Linked DNA regions of Neurospora crassa OR74A. The protein of the gene in region 1 binds, or shares a complex with, the protein of each later gene. Links are inferred from orthologs where the notes say so. Each region holds a gene or a part of one and is shown on either strand. Other genes may lie near its edges.

Region 1 (6,122 bases):
AAGGCCGAAGACGACAAGACCGAGAAGCAGCCTACACCGACACCAACACCGGAGCAGCCCACAAATGAGGTCAACGTAGAAGAATCCGCTTCTGCGAAGGATGGGGCGAAGGCATAAAAGAAATCATTATTGTCAAAGCAAGCGAAAATGAAATAAAGCAAAGTATACCCAAATTAATGCAGTTATGATTATTCCGAGGTCACTGTTATCATGCCTCTTAGAGTGCTAGAGGTATCCAGCAAATGCTGTTGCCATGTGTGCTCCTTCCCGACTCCGTCTATATCCAAAGAACCAAGCCCTGCCGACCATGCAATTTCATCATGATGCCTGCCTGCCTGCCCCTGGTGTCCCTTTTTCCCCCCGCCAGATGCCAGCCCAAAACCAAGATCTAGACTAAGTAAGTTACATACCCACTGATCCCCGTCATTACATTATATTAGGATTACCAACATTCTTCCCTGTATGTCACCGGAGGTTACCATTAGATATTACTATTTTTTCCTTTCAACCGTCAATCATCCAGATCCAGCCTGGAGTTCTGCCTCCTGATCACCGCCACCGGTAACCTCCCCTCGTAATCACTATCCTCTTCTCCCTCTTCACTCCCATGTGTTCCCCGCTCCATCACCTGCGAAGTCTCCTTCAAAACGTCCCTAACCCTCTCCATCCTCCTCACCGCCCCCTCCAGCATTTCCAGCCTCTCCTTCTTCTGCTCGTCTCTCTTCTCCAGCGTCTTTACCCGCTCCTCCAGCTTCGCTCTCGCCCTCCTTTCCGACGCGACCATCTCGTTGGCTTCCGAGAACAGGGTCACCGATAACTCCTCAATCTCACGCGACGTGGCGGTTAGTTTCGCTTCGGCTTTGGCTAGCTTGGCGCGGGTTTCCGTGTGGAGGGATTTCTCTTGGGATAGGGCTGCCTGGAGGTCGGAGATCTCTTTTTGGTGCTGAAGGGACGGGGAGGTGGACTGGAACGGTTGTTGAAGGGGGCTGCTTAGAGTGAACGATTGCGAGAGGGTGGATTGGTGCGTTGGCATATGAGGAACAGGGCCGGTAGAAGATTGGGCGGATTTGAGGTTGGGCGTTGATTTGCGCGAGGTCAAGAAGGCGGAGAGACGGGAGGCGGCGCCGGTGGGCAGGAAGGAGGAGACGGAGCTGACGCTGCGAGGGGCGGCGGGGGAGGCGTTGGCTGTTGCAGTGGTGGAGGGGGTTGCGGATTGGGGAGGGGTGGCGAGGGCTGCATCGGCGTGTTGTTGCTGTTGTTGCGGTGATGATATTTGGGACGCAACTGGGGAGGACTGGGATTGTTGTTGTTGTTGTTGTTGTTGTTGTTGTTGTTGTTGTTGTTGTTGTTGTTGTTGTTGTTGTTGTTGTTGTTGCTGCTGCTGTTTGAGTTGCCCTCGTAGTTGGGCTATCTCGTCTTCGTAGTCGGCCCAACGATCGACGGCGGATGAAGCCTTTTCGTTGAGCAGGCGCACTTGGCTTTGAAGTTCTTGGATCTTGTTGTGGGCATCGAGAACGGCCGCCTGCATCTCCAAGAAGGGTTGGGTCCCCTCGAGATCGATACCGCATTGTGGGCAGCAAGGAGCGGTAGATAACGTTTGGGTGACCGGTTCGACGATGACGGGGGCGGCGGTCATCGTCATGGTGGCGGTGGTTGACATGGCTCACCAGGGCCCCGTTAGGACAGATGATATCGACAAGGAGAGTTCGCGCGTCTTGTCGGATTGGACGAAAATCAAAGATGATGGATTGAAGCGGTTCGTCTGATCTCGATATTTTCTTCTCGGGAACGAAGTGGACTCCTGCCAGGAACAAGAAAACTAGATGGAGACGCCGTTGCGGTGGGGATGGACTGGTTCCCGTTGAAACAGGGGCAGGGAGCTTGTTGTTTTCGTCTTAGACTTTGTTTTGTGTATCTGGGGGGCGCTGAGTGAGATCGCTAACCAACACGCCGCCAGAGCTCCCACTCTGCCTCCTCCTTTTTTGAAGAATGACAAAGCTGTAAAAGGGAGGACAAGAAATGGGTGGAATGAATGTGTCTAGGTACCTCTAGGCACGCAGGGTTTCGGTGACGTACGGGAATCTACCGCCCTCCCCCGTTCTACGCCCCCCCGCCGTTCCGATGATCTTCAGCGGTATGTAGGTACCGCATGCACGATGCAAGGCCCATGTGGGGGGTATACGAGACGCCAAGCCGCCCTTGAGCCGCCTTAAAGAAACAGCACTCGTTAACGTTTGGCCCAGGCGGCGGATGACGGCACAGACAACAGATGAGGTATGTACCTAGGTATGCAAGGGAATAGTAAGGTACGTATGAAGAAGGCTATTGGTATCTTCTATGCAGATTTTAAACGGGTATCCAGTTTCTTGATGCAATGACAGGCGTAGCCGTGTCTGGCGTCACTATATCTTTCCTCGACGTGACAAGATCATACTAACTCGCCATCGTCTTCGTTATCCCTGAAACAGGCGCTGTATCATGACTGTGTTGTTCCGCTGTGTCAAGAGTGAATCGTGACATGTACCCATCTCCATACTTCTCTGAGTGCGAGCCCTATCACCCAAGACCATGTTCTGCGCGGTCTAACTTGGCGTACCTGGAGTATCCGCCGGAAACTCTGGGGCCAGGACATCTCTGGGCTTGGATTTGTCGCTGGGATGCTTGCTTGTGATGCGAGTGGCCGACCGTGTCGATGATGGACCGGCGGACCGTGAGAGCTCGACATTCGACGTGCCGCCGCATTTGCAAGTCCCCAACCGGGTACTGATTGAGCACCTGCTTTCACTACTCGGCGAGCTCTCCGAGCAGATTAACGCCCGTATCGCCTTGATAACACGCTGTACCTCAAGCTAGTAACTCCGCTATGCATTGCTTTTCAAGCATCTTTTTCATGTCTCATTTCGAAACTCCATCCGCCGACTTCAGTAGGGCTTCGCAACCTTTCTGGGTTCGCTTAGCCCCGTCTCAGGGTCCTTGTATTCCTTCCAGTTGACGGGGTACATGGTGTTACCGGCCTCGCTTGTCGCCATGATGACACCGAGCTCGTTACGCGCTGTCGACAGGTAGTAGCTGGCTTGGTCACCAAGAGAAATCTAGTGGGTGGCAGCACGTTAGCGGAAGTGTTCAGTCCATGTCTGGCAGAAAGGGAGAGGAGAAGAGCACTCACCACCTCGGCCCTGACAATATCTCCAGGCCTGAAGCTGTCGTAGATCTTTACCCTGTCCTTCTCTGTTGCTCTCACGTCCTGCACTCTGATCAGGCCCTGCCACTCGGCCTCCAAAACAGTATCGCCGCAAATTAGAATGGCCACAACGGCTTGGCGCGGCATGATGCGAATCACCCGGCATAGCACGATGTTGCCCACTTCAGGAAGCACCTCGCGCTTGTCTGACGAACCCGCTGAACGCAATACCGAGATGGTCGGTAGCTCGGCGGGCGTGGTCTGGGTGTTGATGATCTTGTTCAAGCGCTTAGCAGGGCCAGGCGCCTTGGCGGGCTGTGTGATGTTGACGACGCCGAGCAGCGAAGAGTAGAGGTTCGACTCGTGGATATGGGTTCCAGGACCGGGTTGGAACTTGGAGACAGGGCCTAGGAATTGGCCGGGGATGGCCATCGAAGGGGAAGAGGATGTGCTCGCCATTGTGTCGGTCGTTCTAGGTTGATGGAGCTATCGATGACAAAAGTTTGCGAATGGGTAAAAGTGGTATAGTATGAGACGCGGTGCGACGCGCAGAGGGAAACTAAACAAAAAAAAGATAACGATGCGACAAAACGGACCCCGCGGCGATAACAACTGAGATTGGAGCTTCTGGTACGTGGAGGTAAATGTCCATTCGATGGAATATTGAAATGTGATTGACCGGGCCCGCGGACGGGACTCAATGACGGAGGGGCACCGAAAAAATAGAAACCCCTGTCAGTGCCAAGAGCGCTGTTAGTGCCGCGCTGAGTGCTTTGCACCGACAGTGCTGCCGGGCAACTTGAGCTGCCCTGCCGGCGAGGGGAGCTTTACGGAGCTTCTGGATGCACTCCAGCCTGCCGGTGTGTCTGCCTCCAATTGGTCGTAGCGGTGGCTCCTTCAAGAAATCGGTTTAACGCTATCCGCGCAATTGAGCGTCCTTATTGGTCAAAGCTCTCAAAATCGAACGTGTCGGAAGTCGCAACACCCGCCTGGGCGGGCATGTTGCAACCACAAGGGTCCTCCACAAGGAAATCAGGGGTTGCCGTGGGTAGGTTTGTTGAGGTTGGGCTGACGGACCCCCCTGTCGGTGGTGGAATCTCTGTGGCCATTGTTTTGCTTCTTTATAATTCAAGATTCCCGTCTTCTCTCTCCCCTGTTTCTCCTCCTCGACATTGTGCCGTCTCGTCAATCACAAACCGTCACAATGCCTCCCAAGAAGCAGTCCTCCTCCGGCGGCAACAAGCCGTCCGGCTCTGGCTCTAGCTCCGGCCGCTCTTCCTCCGGTTCGTCTTGCCGCTGCAGCTGCCGCTGCCGCTGCAGTATCGGTGGCTGGCTCAAGTTCTTCGCCATCTTGTTCGCCCTAGTTGCGCCTATCGCCTACGTCCTGGAGCAGCGTCTCGAGTCCTTCTACGTCTTCGATACTGAGCACCTTCACGATCTGTCCAAGCGCGCCATCAGCGCCCACGGCAACGACACCAAGGCTATTGTCAAGTACATTGTCGACGAGCTGAACGACCGCAACGGCGTTGCGCCCTACGTCAACAACGATGAGGAGTGGGTGTTCAACAACGCTGGTGGTGCCATGGGTGCTATGTACATCATCCACGCCTCCATCACCGAGTACCTGATTATCTTTGGTAAGCCCCATCCTCCAGCACGCGTTTCGCAAGCTTGTGCTTCCCGCTTCTTCAGACCCATCACTAACAGCACACTCCACACAACAGGCACTGCCATCGGTACTGAGGGTCACACCGGCCGCCACACCGCCGACGACTACTTCCACATCCTCACCGGCACTCAGACTGCCTACGTCCCCGGCGAGTACGAGCCTGAGGTCTACCCTCCCGGTTCCGTTCACCACCTCGTCCGCGGTACCGTCAAGCAGTACAGGATGCCCGAGAGCTGCTTCGCGCTCGAGTATGCGCGCGGCTGGATCCCTCCCATGCTGTTCTTCGGTTATGCCGATACCCTCAGCAGCACGCTCGATTTCCCTACCCTCTGGCGCACCTCCGTCATCACCGGCCGCGAGATGATTAGCAACTTGCTCAAGGGCAAGTTCTAAGCATTGTGCTTTACGAACTGTCCCCTTCGCGAAGGGTGTTTTGCTTACGAAGGTTTTGGAAACCATGGGATAGAATATAGAGTAGAGATAAGGCTTCTCGGCACAAGCGGCGTCTACGCTAGACCGGAGTTTGGGTTAGATCAAGATATATCCATACCTATATTCACAATCTACGGTAACGTAGTCAAAACATTACTACAAAGATACTCTCTTTTGGAAATGTTCGTCGCCTCTGTTTGCACATTCGCTGGTGAGTCCTTGCCCTGAGGTAGTTGTCACAAACCTTCGTAGAGAATGCACGGGTTGGCTTTATTATACCTGTGTTCTGGTTTAGTACAGCTGACCCGCTCGCTTCCAGACAGACTTCTGTATTGGTGCTTTGTCTTCTCTTCTCTTCACTTCTCTCTTCACTTCTCTCTTCACTCCTCTCTTCACTCCTCTCTTCACTTCTCTCTTCGGCAAAGTGCTCATGTCCGTGCCCATGTTTTCTACATATCTATACATCACTAGGTAACCCCTGAACCGCCGTCGCGCAAACATCACGATTCCTAACATCCATGTGTACACTCCCTCGGCATTTCTCAGCACGCCTATCTCCTGCTCTAGACTTCATGCCACCAAGTAGTCTATTCCCCCCTTCCTACGATGACAGCTGGCTATACCTCGGTTTACTGTTATCCTCATTTTACTTCGGCCAAAGTAGCCAGTCCATCACCACGCCACTGCGCCGCGAGACGGGACGGCGAAACGACAAGCTGGACGAAGATGAATGGTTTTACGAACAAATGACGATTCGATTTATTCCAATTTCATCAACTTTTCTTTTGGGGAAAGCATACAAGCACTGAGGGTTACGTTTTCCATGGACAACGCCTTTAG
Region 2 (6,697 bases), on another chromosome or scaffold:
CCGGTTTTACTGATTGAAGCTGGAGGGCCTTTGTCGCGCATTTCCAGAGGTTGATATCGGCCGCCTTGACGGCAGCGGGGATCGTGATGTTGTCTGTCATGACGATTGCGTTCGGGCGTCTGACAGAATGCCTTGGCTGTACGTTCGGATCAAGATAAGAGAATCTATAGGGAGAGAGGATAACTGAAGGTATGCAAACCAGGAAAGAGGGGAAGTACTGCTCGTCGTTATCTCTCAGCTCGCTTCCTTGTCAAGTCCCATGGAGCAGAGGAGGGTTGACAGTTGAACATGGACTGGACCGTCCGTGACTAGCGTCGTCACCTACCCTACCCTATCTTTCCGCGGCTGTCTCTAGAGTACGTACTGCGTACGAACGGCAGGCGGCACCAATTCAGTCCAGTTGTTAGCGTCCTCTTCCCCACATTCCCGCCCAGCCCTCTGCTAGGTCTCAAGCGCCATCGATGCCATCCACATCATGATGTGCCTTGGAGCTTGGGCCACATTCCAGTCATAGCGCGTTTCAAAGCACTGAAAGCGCTCCCGGACCGCAGCTCCTCCCCTGGTGATTCTGGACGCTTCTGACTTCATTTGTATGTGGCGCCAGCTTTCACAGCTTCTGAGTTGAAATGTGTTCTTTTGCCGAACCTGGGAAGATGACAGCTTTTCCTTTCATCTCAATCGGTGTGTCTGTTTGTTGCTTCCTTGGGTTTCAAATACACGACACCATCTTTCACACGGGACTGAATCCCTAGGACGCCCATACGGAAGAGCTTCCTTTGTTCTCACTTACACTTTGTATTGGTATCGGCTATTGTACATTCATGACATTATAGCTCCAACCCCACAAACCTCATCTATCATCATCCCCCCATACATACATACCACCGTCACCCAGTAAACAAAAGCGTCGCCTTCCTGACTGTACCATGCATCATTCCACCCTCTGTGCTCTGGCAGTTGGTATCCTGTCTGCGCTCCCCGGAGCCCAGGCGGGCCTTTATACCAAAAAGTCCCCAGTTTTGCAGGTTGACGGAAAGGATTACGATAGATTGATTGCCAAGAGCAACCAGACGTCTGTAAGTACCAGACCGACTATATCTTAGATCAGCCATCGTAATAATGCATGTATGTGTCTGACCTCTCTCCCTTGCAGATTCTTGAGTTCTACGCCCCCTGGTGCGGCCACTGCCAAAACCTCAAGCCCGCCTACGAAAAGGCTGCCAAGAACCTCGAAGGCCTGGCCAAGGTCGCCGCCGTCAACTGCGATGAGGACGCCAACAAGCCCTTTTGCGGCAGCATGGGCGTGCAGGGCTTCCCGACCTTGAAGATCATCCGTCCTTCTAAGAACGGCAAGCCCATAGTGGAGGACTACCAAGGCCAGCGCACCGCCAGCGCAATTGTCGATGCTGTGGTCTCGCGCATCAACAATCACGTCGTGAAAGTCGAGGACAAGAACCTCGACAAGTTCCTGAGTGACAAGAACGAGACAGCCAAAGCGCTCCTCTTCACCGACAAGGGTACCACCTCCCCCTTGCTGAAGAGCGTCGCCATTGAATTCCTCGGTGTCATGCCCGTCGGTCAGGTGCGAAACACTCAGTCCAAGGCGGTATCCACATTCGGTGTCGACAAACTCCCTACTCTGATCTTGTTGCCTGGCGGTGATGCCCCTGGTATTGTGTACGACGGCGAGATCAACAAGGCCGCCATGGTGGAGTTCCTTTCCCAGGCGGCCCAGCCTAATCCGGACCCAGCACCGGCCAACGGCAAGACTAATGGCAAGACTAATGGCAAGACTAATGGCAAGGCTAATGGCAAGGCTAATGGTAAGGCCAACGGCAAGGCCAACGGTGGTGAAAAAAACGGAAAGCAAGACTCCAAGAAGGTCGCCTCCTCCGAAACCTCCTCTGAAACGTCCTCCGAAACCCCTGCCCCAACCCAAGAGATTCCCGTAATAATCCACACCGCCCTCCCCATCCCCTCCCTCAACACCCCCGAAAAGCTCGTCAAGGAATGCCTCACGTCCAAATCCAGCACCTGCCTTCTCGCGCTGGTATCCTCTTCCAACGAAAAAGCCCAAAAGGCCCTCACCCACCTCGCCGAAATAAAATTCAAATATGCCCTCGGCCAACACAAGCTCTTCCCCTTTTACGAGGTGCCCCTCGACACCAACCCCGCCGGCGCGTCCCTTCTCAAATCCCTTGGCCTCAAGGAGGATGCTGACATTGAACTCATCGTCATCAACGCCCGTCGCGGATGGTGGAGACGCTACGACGCTGTTGGTGAGGGAGATGATTTCTCGGATCATGACAAGGTGGAGGCGTGGATTGATGCGATTAGGTTGAGCGAGGGCACCAAGAAAAAGCTGCCGGAGGGTATTGTTGTTGAGGCTTCTTCGACGGAGGAGGAGGAGAAGAAGAAGGAAAAGAAAGAGTCTGGTAAGGCTGAGAAGGCTGCTTCAAAGGAGGGGGAGACGCCTGAGGCCCAGTCGAAGACGGCCAGTGGTCACGATGAGCTGTGAGAGATTGGTGAAAGCGTAGTTTGCTGTGACTTGTGTCAGTGAATGGCTGGTCAAAAGTTGAAGGTTTTTTGGTACCTTTCAGTTTCGGAGAACGCTTTCAAAAGTTGGCGCACGTTTAACAGAAACGACATGTTGCTCACCTGACCAAGAGCTGTACTTTTGATTACATTGATAGTCGTGAAATTCGTCAAATTCGTCATGTTGCCTATTCTTTTTTGCTCCAAGCCTTTGTAATGCTACCTACCGTACCATATCCGATTCTGTGACCCGGAGCCCAACCATTGATTCAGTAGTGTCCATTCAATCCAGTTCCATGTCATTCAACCCAACCCCTCTCTCGACCGTGCCCTCCTGTATCATCTTTATCCCCTTCTCTCTCACTACCCTGTCCAAGATCTCCCTCACCTGCTTACACCCGTCCACGCCCACGGCCAACATGCCCTCCAGGCGACTCACCTGCACTCTGCTCTCGCAGACCAGCACCGCCACGCGGTCGCTGTCGCCCAATGTGGCCACCGTCAGGCCGGGCAGCTCCTGCTCCTCCTGGTGGTTCATGTCCAGCAGCGGGTCGGCGCCCTCGTCGTTAGCCGCGTATGTAGACGTCGAGCCGGCCGTGCAGGCCGCGACGTAGTCTGTCATGGGAATGCCGGCGTCGACGCAGGCGAGCGTGGCGGCATTGATGAGGGCGGCCAGCAAAGAGCCGTCTTGCGAGAGCACGTGCAGGGAGATGTTGATGGTGGAGTGCGGGAAGAGGTGGGTGTGTAAGCTGGCAGCGAGGGCTTGAGATATCGTCGATTGGAGTTCGAGGATGTGCCTGTGATGATGGAAGAAGGAAGGATGACGGGTTAGTTATGCGAACAGTGACAGACGAATAGCCGTAGTTGACACTGGGGGGGAAACAACCCCTGGGTGTTTTGACTTACTTATCACCTCTCCCCCTTCGCTTACGGTCAACCGAGCTAAACCCGGCAATGACAATGTTTACAGCAACCTCGGCGTTCTTGGACTGACCACCGCCACCACCACCGCCCGACGTGGCTCCCCTCCGAGGACCGGGCTCGCTGGGTCCGTTAACGACACACATGACCTTGGTGTGGCCCATCTCGAGGTAACTGGAGCCATCGGCGGCGGCCTGGGTGCGGATCTGGGCATGGATGCGACGCAGCTCGTTCCACCTGCGGCCGTCGACGCGCAACAGCGCGAGGCTATATGCTGAAGTATCGAGAGGCATAGCGGTGTAGCTGGGTGGACAGGTGTTTCTTTCTATGTTCTGTTGTTCTAGCGTTTCACTCTACTCCTCTGGGTATCGTGGTTCGGGCTAATCTCTCTACCGGGCAGGTAGCGAGTACACCAAAGGTCGAGATTGGGGTACGGTATCCAGTAAGGATCAACAACAACAAACGCCCTGAGGGCCTGTCTGGGGAGCCGGACCTGAGTCGAGATTTTTTGCTCTTGCTTCCCCTGCTTAGTGTCCACCAAGCTCAGGTTGTGCTTGTAGTTGTACCCTAGTCGTTCTTCGAGTCGGGTCGGCCAAGCTCGATCTGGGAGATCGTGGTTAGTGCGTACAGTTTCGGCTCGATGGGACAGATTATTCGATGCGATATCGTGCCGCGAGCGACGCGCAAGCTCTCGGTACGTTGAGTCGGAGGAGAGAAAGGCTTGCGTAATGCGGAAGTGTCGGGGCCCCAGTTTCAGTGACTAAGTTATCGCGCAAAGTGGGAATTCGGAGCTTCCGGTCGACCAGTCTGAATAATCGACAGCAGGTTCTGGTGGACGGTTGTTGACTTTGAAATCGCCTTTTGCTAGGAATAAACGGACGTGGTTGGGCCAGGCCGAAAGTTTCCAATGGCAAGACAGGAAAAGTTTAGCTGGGCGGGGCGGGGCAAGATCCGCTGCGTCTCACGTTCGCGGGGTCGCCGTGCCGGGCTCCACCGCTCACCTCACTCGGCAGGACGGGAGTTCCATCCGCAGGGCTTCTGCTTAAGTTCTGCTTCGCTTCCATCAGGAGCTGAAAATGCATGCAAGTGGTCTGTGCATACCTCTACACTACTTGTAGGCAAGTTGTTTGCAGCTGCAGACAGAGGACGGGACGTGATGGCCCCGGAACATGGAATTGAAGGTTCCCGTCCATCTACTCTCCACGTGATCTTGACAGCCCCCATTTGACCTCTCCAGCTCATAGCGGTACAGTGAGTTGATGGCAAGATATCAATCGAATGCGCAATGTTGATGGGATCTTGATCGTGCATTGTGAGCAGGAGAGGGCCTGAAGTCTGGACTCAGGAGTGATCACTACTAGGTAGCCTACCTAGAGGTAGGTAGGCTACCTCTACTCAGGGGCACACTGTGGCAGTGGCAGTGACCCCTTGTCAACAGCAAGGAGGAAACCGGCATTCCTCCATTCCCCCCTTCGCTAAGTGAATACGGGACAACGGCCACCAAGATCATCTCATGGGTACCGCGATGCGCTGGGTGTTCGAAATGTCAATTGGTTTGTATTCTTGGAAGCCTCGGTTGAGCGCGTCGTCATCTTCTATCATCTCGGACCCAAGAGTGATCCGGTTCTAGAAGTCTGGAACGCTCGCCAATGCTCCTGGAGCTCCCTATCTGGGGTGCGAATCGATCAAGGTTCAAGAGGATTCCGTTTGGTGTTTTTGGGGAGACTTGTTCAACATCAAGTCTCTACACTAGGAGGCGCCGTCGGTCGGCGCATGATGCAGCCCTAGACAGCCGGCCCAGGCTAGCACGAATTGGCCTAGTCTATCGATATGACTGAACAGAGATCCACCATGAGCAAGTCGTCATCCAGTGACCACAATGTCTTTGTCAACTAAACAGTTTCATCAGGCGCGGTTTGTTTCTCGTTTCACTGTGAAAACCTCGAGGTGCGCGCTTACTCATTGAAGAATTACTGCGCTGGTGGCCCGACCAGCCCACGGGGTCCAATGGAACGGAGAAACGGGGCAATGGGGAAGTGCTGTGTTGCCCAGTCTACCAAGGAACGACCCGCCAACGCCAATTCGCATTACACTTTTAATCAAACTGTGGATGAACGAACCATGAATTAGCCAAGGGGGCTCGCTAACACATTTCGCGGCACTTAATCCGGACATGTGTTAGGGATCAAAGCTCTTTGGTTGGCATTGCCCCCGTTTCCGTTCATCTCGTTTCAGACCACCCGACCGCGACCAGGCTTCGAGAAACAGGGCTAGCGCTGCTATCCTTGACGCCAGAGCAACGGAACCTTCCCGCCCCCATGCTCACCTAATCTCCAGAACACCAGTCAATGCACGTGCGTCCTGTCTTGGGCCCCTTTGAGTGAAAACGAAGAGAAAGGAACTCAACGAATGGGGTCACGATGACGAGTCTATTGTCAGCGAAACAACAATGGCTTCTTTGACTTTGGCAAGCTGGACGTGACCTACCTATTCTTGCAGTGGGTCAAAGGTGCTGCATAATACAAACCTGGAAGTCAGCGTTACGCCTTTGTGCGTCGTCGAAGGGTTCCATTGTTCCACCGAACTGCCGGCGAATTATGTAGGCGGGGGATAGCAAAGGGGCCAGCCAATCACAAGCATCAAGTACCTGAGCAGATGTCGTGGACGGCGGGTCGCTGCTGGCCACTCAGGGACGAGAGATGGGACGATCACCGCCCTGACGAGTGGCAGGGACTGCAAGACCCACTCGGCTCACCTGTCCAGACCAATCTTCCAGGTGCCAGGGATCATTTCTGCCAGGCCCTCATTTCGCTGCCCCGGGCAACGTCGCACTGCGCTGTGTGGAAGGCATGCCGGTCCCTGAACGCATGCGTGTGCGTGCCCCTGCAGGCGCCGTGGGACCACAAACGTGGACCAGGGGCAGCTCCTGTCGCTCTGTCGTTCGTTTCTTTTAACCACTTGACGCCCTCCTCCCTCTCCCTCGCGATTTTCATTCCTCCTCCATCCAACACACCACAACGACGCACAACGCCTCCTTTGTTGCGCTTCACCACACTCTTTTCTACAACTCTTGCGCAGATATCCCCATCTCGCAGCCATTCCTTTGGACCGCGGTCCCACGCTACACCAACACTCCTTGGATTGATTGCACAACATAGACCACGTCGGCCACCCCATCTCAATCGACTACTATAGACTAGACATATACCCAGCATCCTTTGCGCCATCTATCCATTCCAAC

The links. The genes of interacting proteins can lie anywhere in the genome.
Region 2: NCU04155 (region 1) and NCU00812 share a complex: the UniProt entries of both Schizosaccharomyces pombe proteins name them as parts of the RNA exosome complex. The link is inferred for Neurospora crassa OR74A from reciprocal best matches to the Schizosaccharomyces pombe genes csl4 and rrp41.

Annotation. Positions count from the first base shown.
Region 1 is NC_026505.1:5,016,816-5,022,937, forward strand, and holds NCU04155 (exosome component 1), read right to left. Parts: upstream 3,946-6,122; 5' UTR 3,641-3,945; coding exon 3,167-3,640; intron 3,093-3,166; coding exon 2,922-3,092; 3' UTR 2,291-2,921; downstream 1-2,290. Other genes in the region: NCU04153 (pseudouridine synthase), read left to right, coding at 1-117; NCU04154 (hypothetical protein), read right to left, coding at 512-1,660; C-8 sterol isomerase erg-1, read left to right, coding at 4,386-4,818, 4,906-5,243. UniProt on the Schizosaccharomyces pombe protein: Non-catalytic component of the RNA exosome complex which has 3'->5' exoribonuclease activity and participates in a multitude of cellular RNA processing and degradation events.
Region 2 is NC_026501.1:7,075,568-7,082,264, forward strand, and holds NCU00812 (exosome complex exonuclease RRP41), read right to left. Parts: upstream 4,357-6,697; 5' UTR 3,750-4,356; coding exon 3,442-3,749; intron 3,333-3,441; coding exon 2,819-3,332; 3' UTR 2,519-2,818; downstream 1-2,518. Other genes in the region: NCU00814 (hypothetical protein), read right to left, coding at 1-100; NCU00813 (disulfide isomerase), read left to right, coding at 927-1,076, 1,154-2,518. UniProt on the Schizosaccharomyces pombe protein: Non-catalytic component of the RNA exosome complex which has 3'->5' exoribonuclease activity and participates in a multitude of cellular RNA processing and degradation events.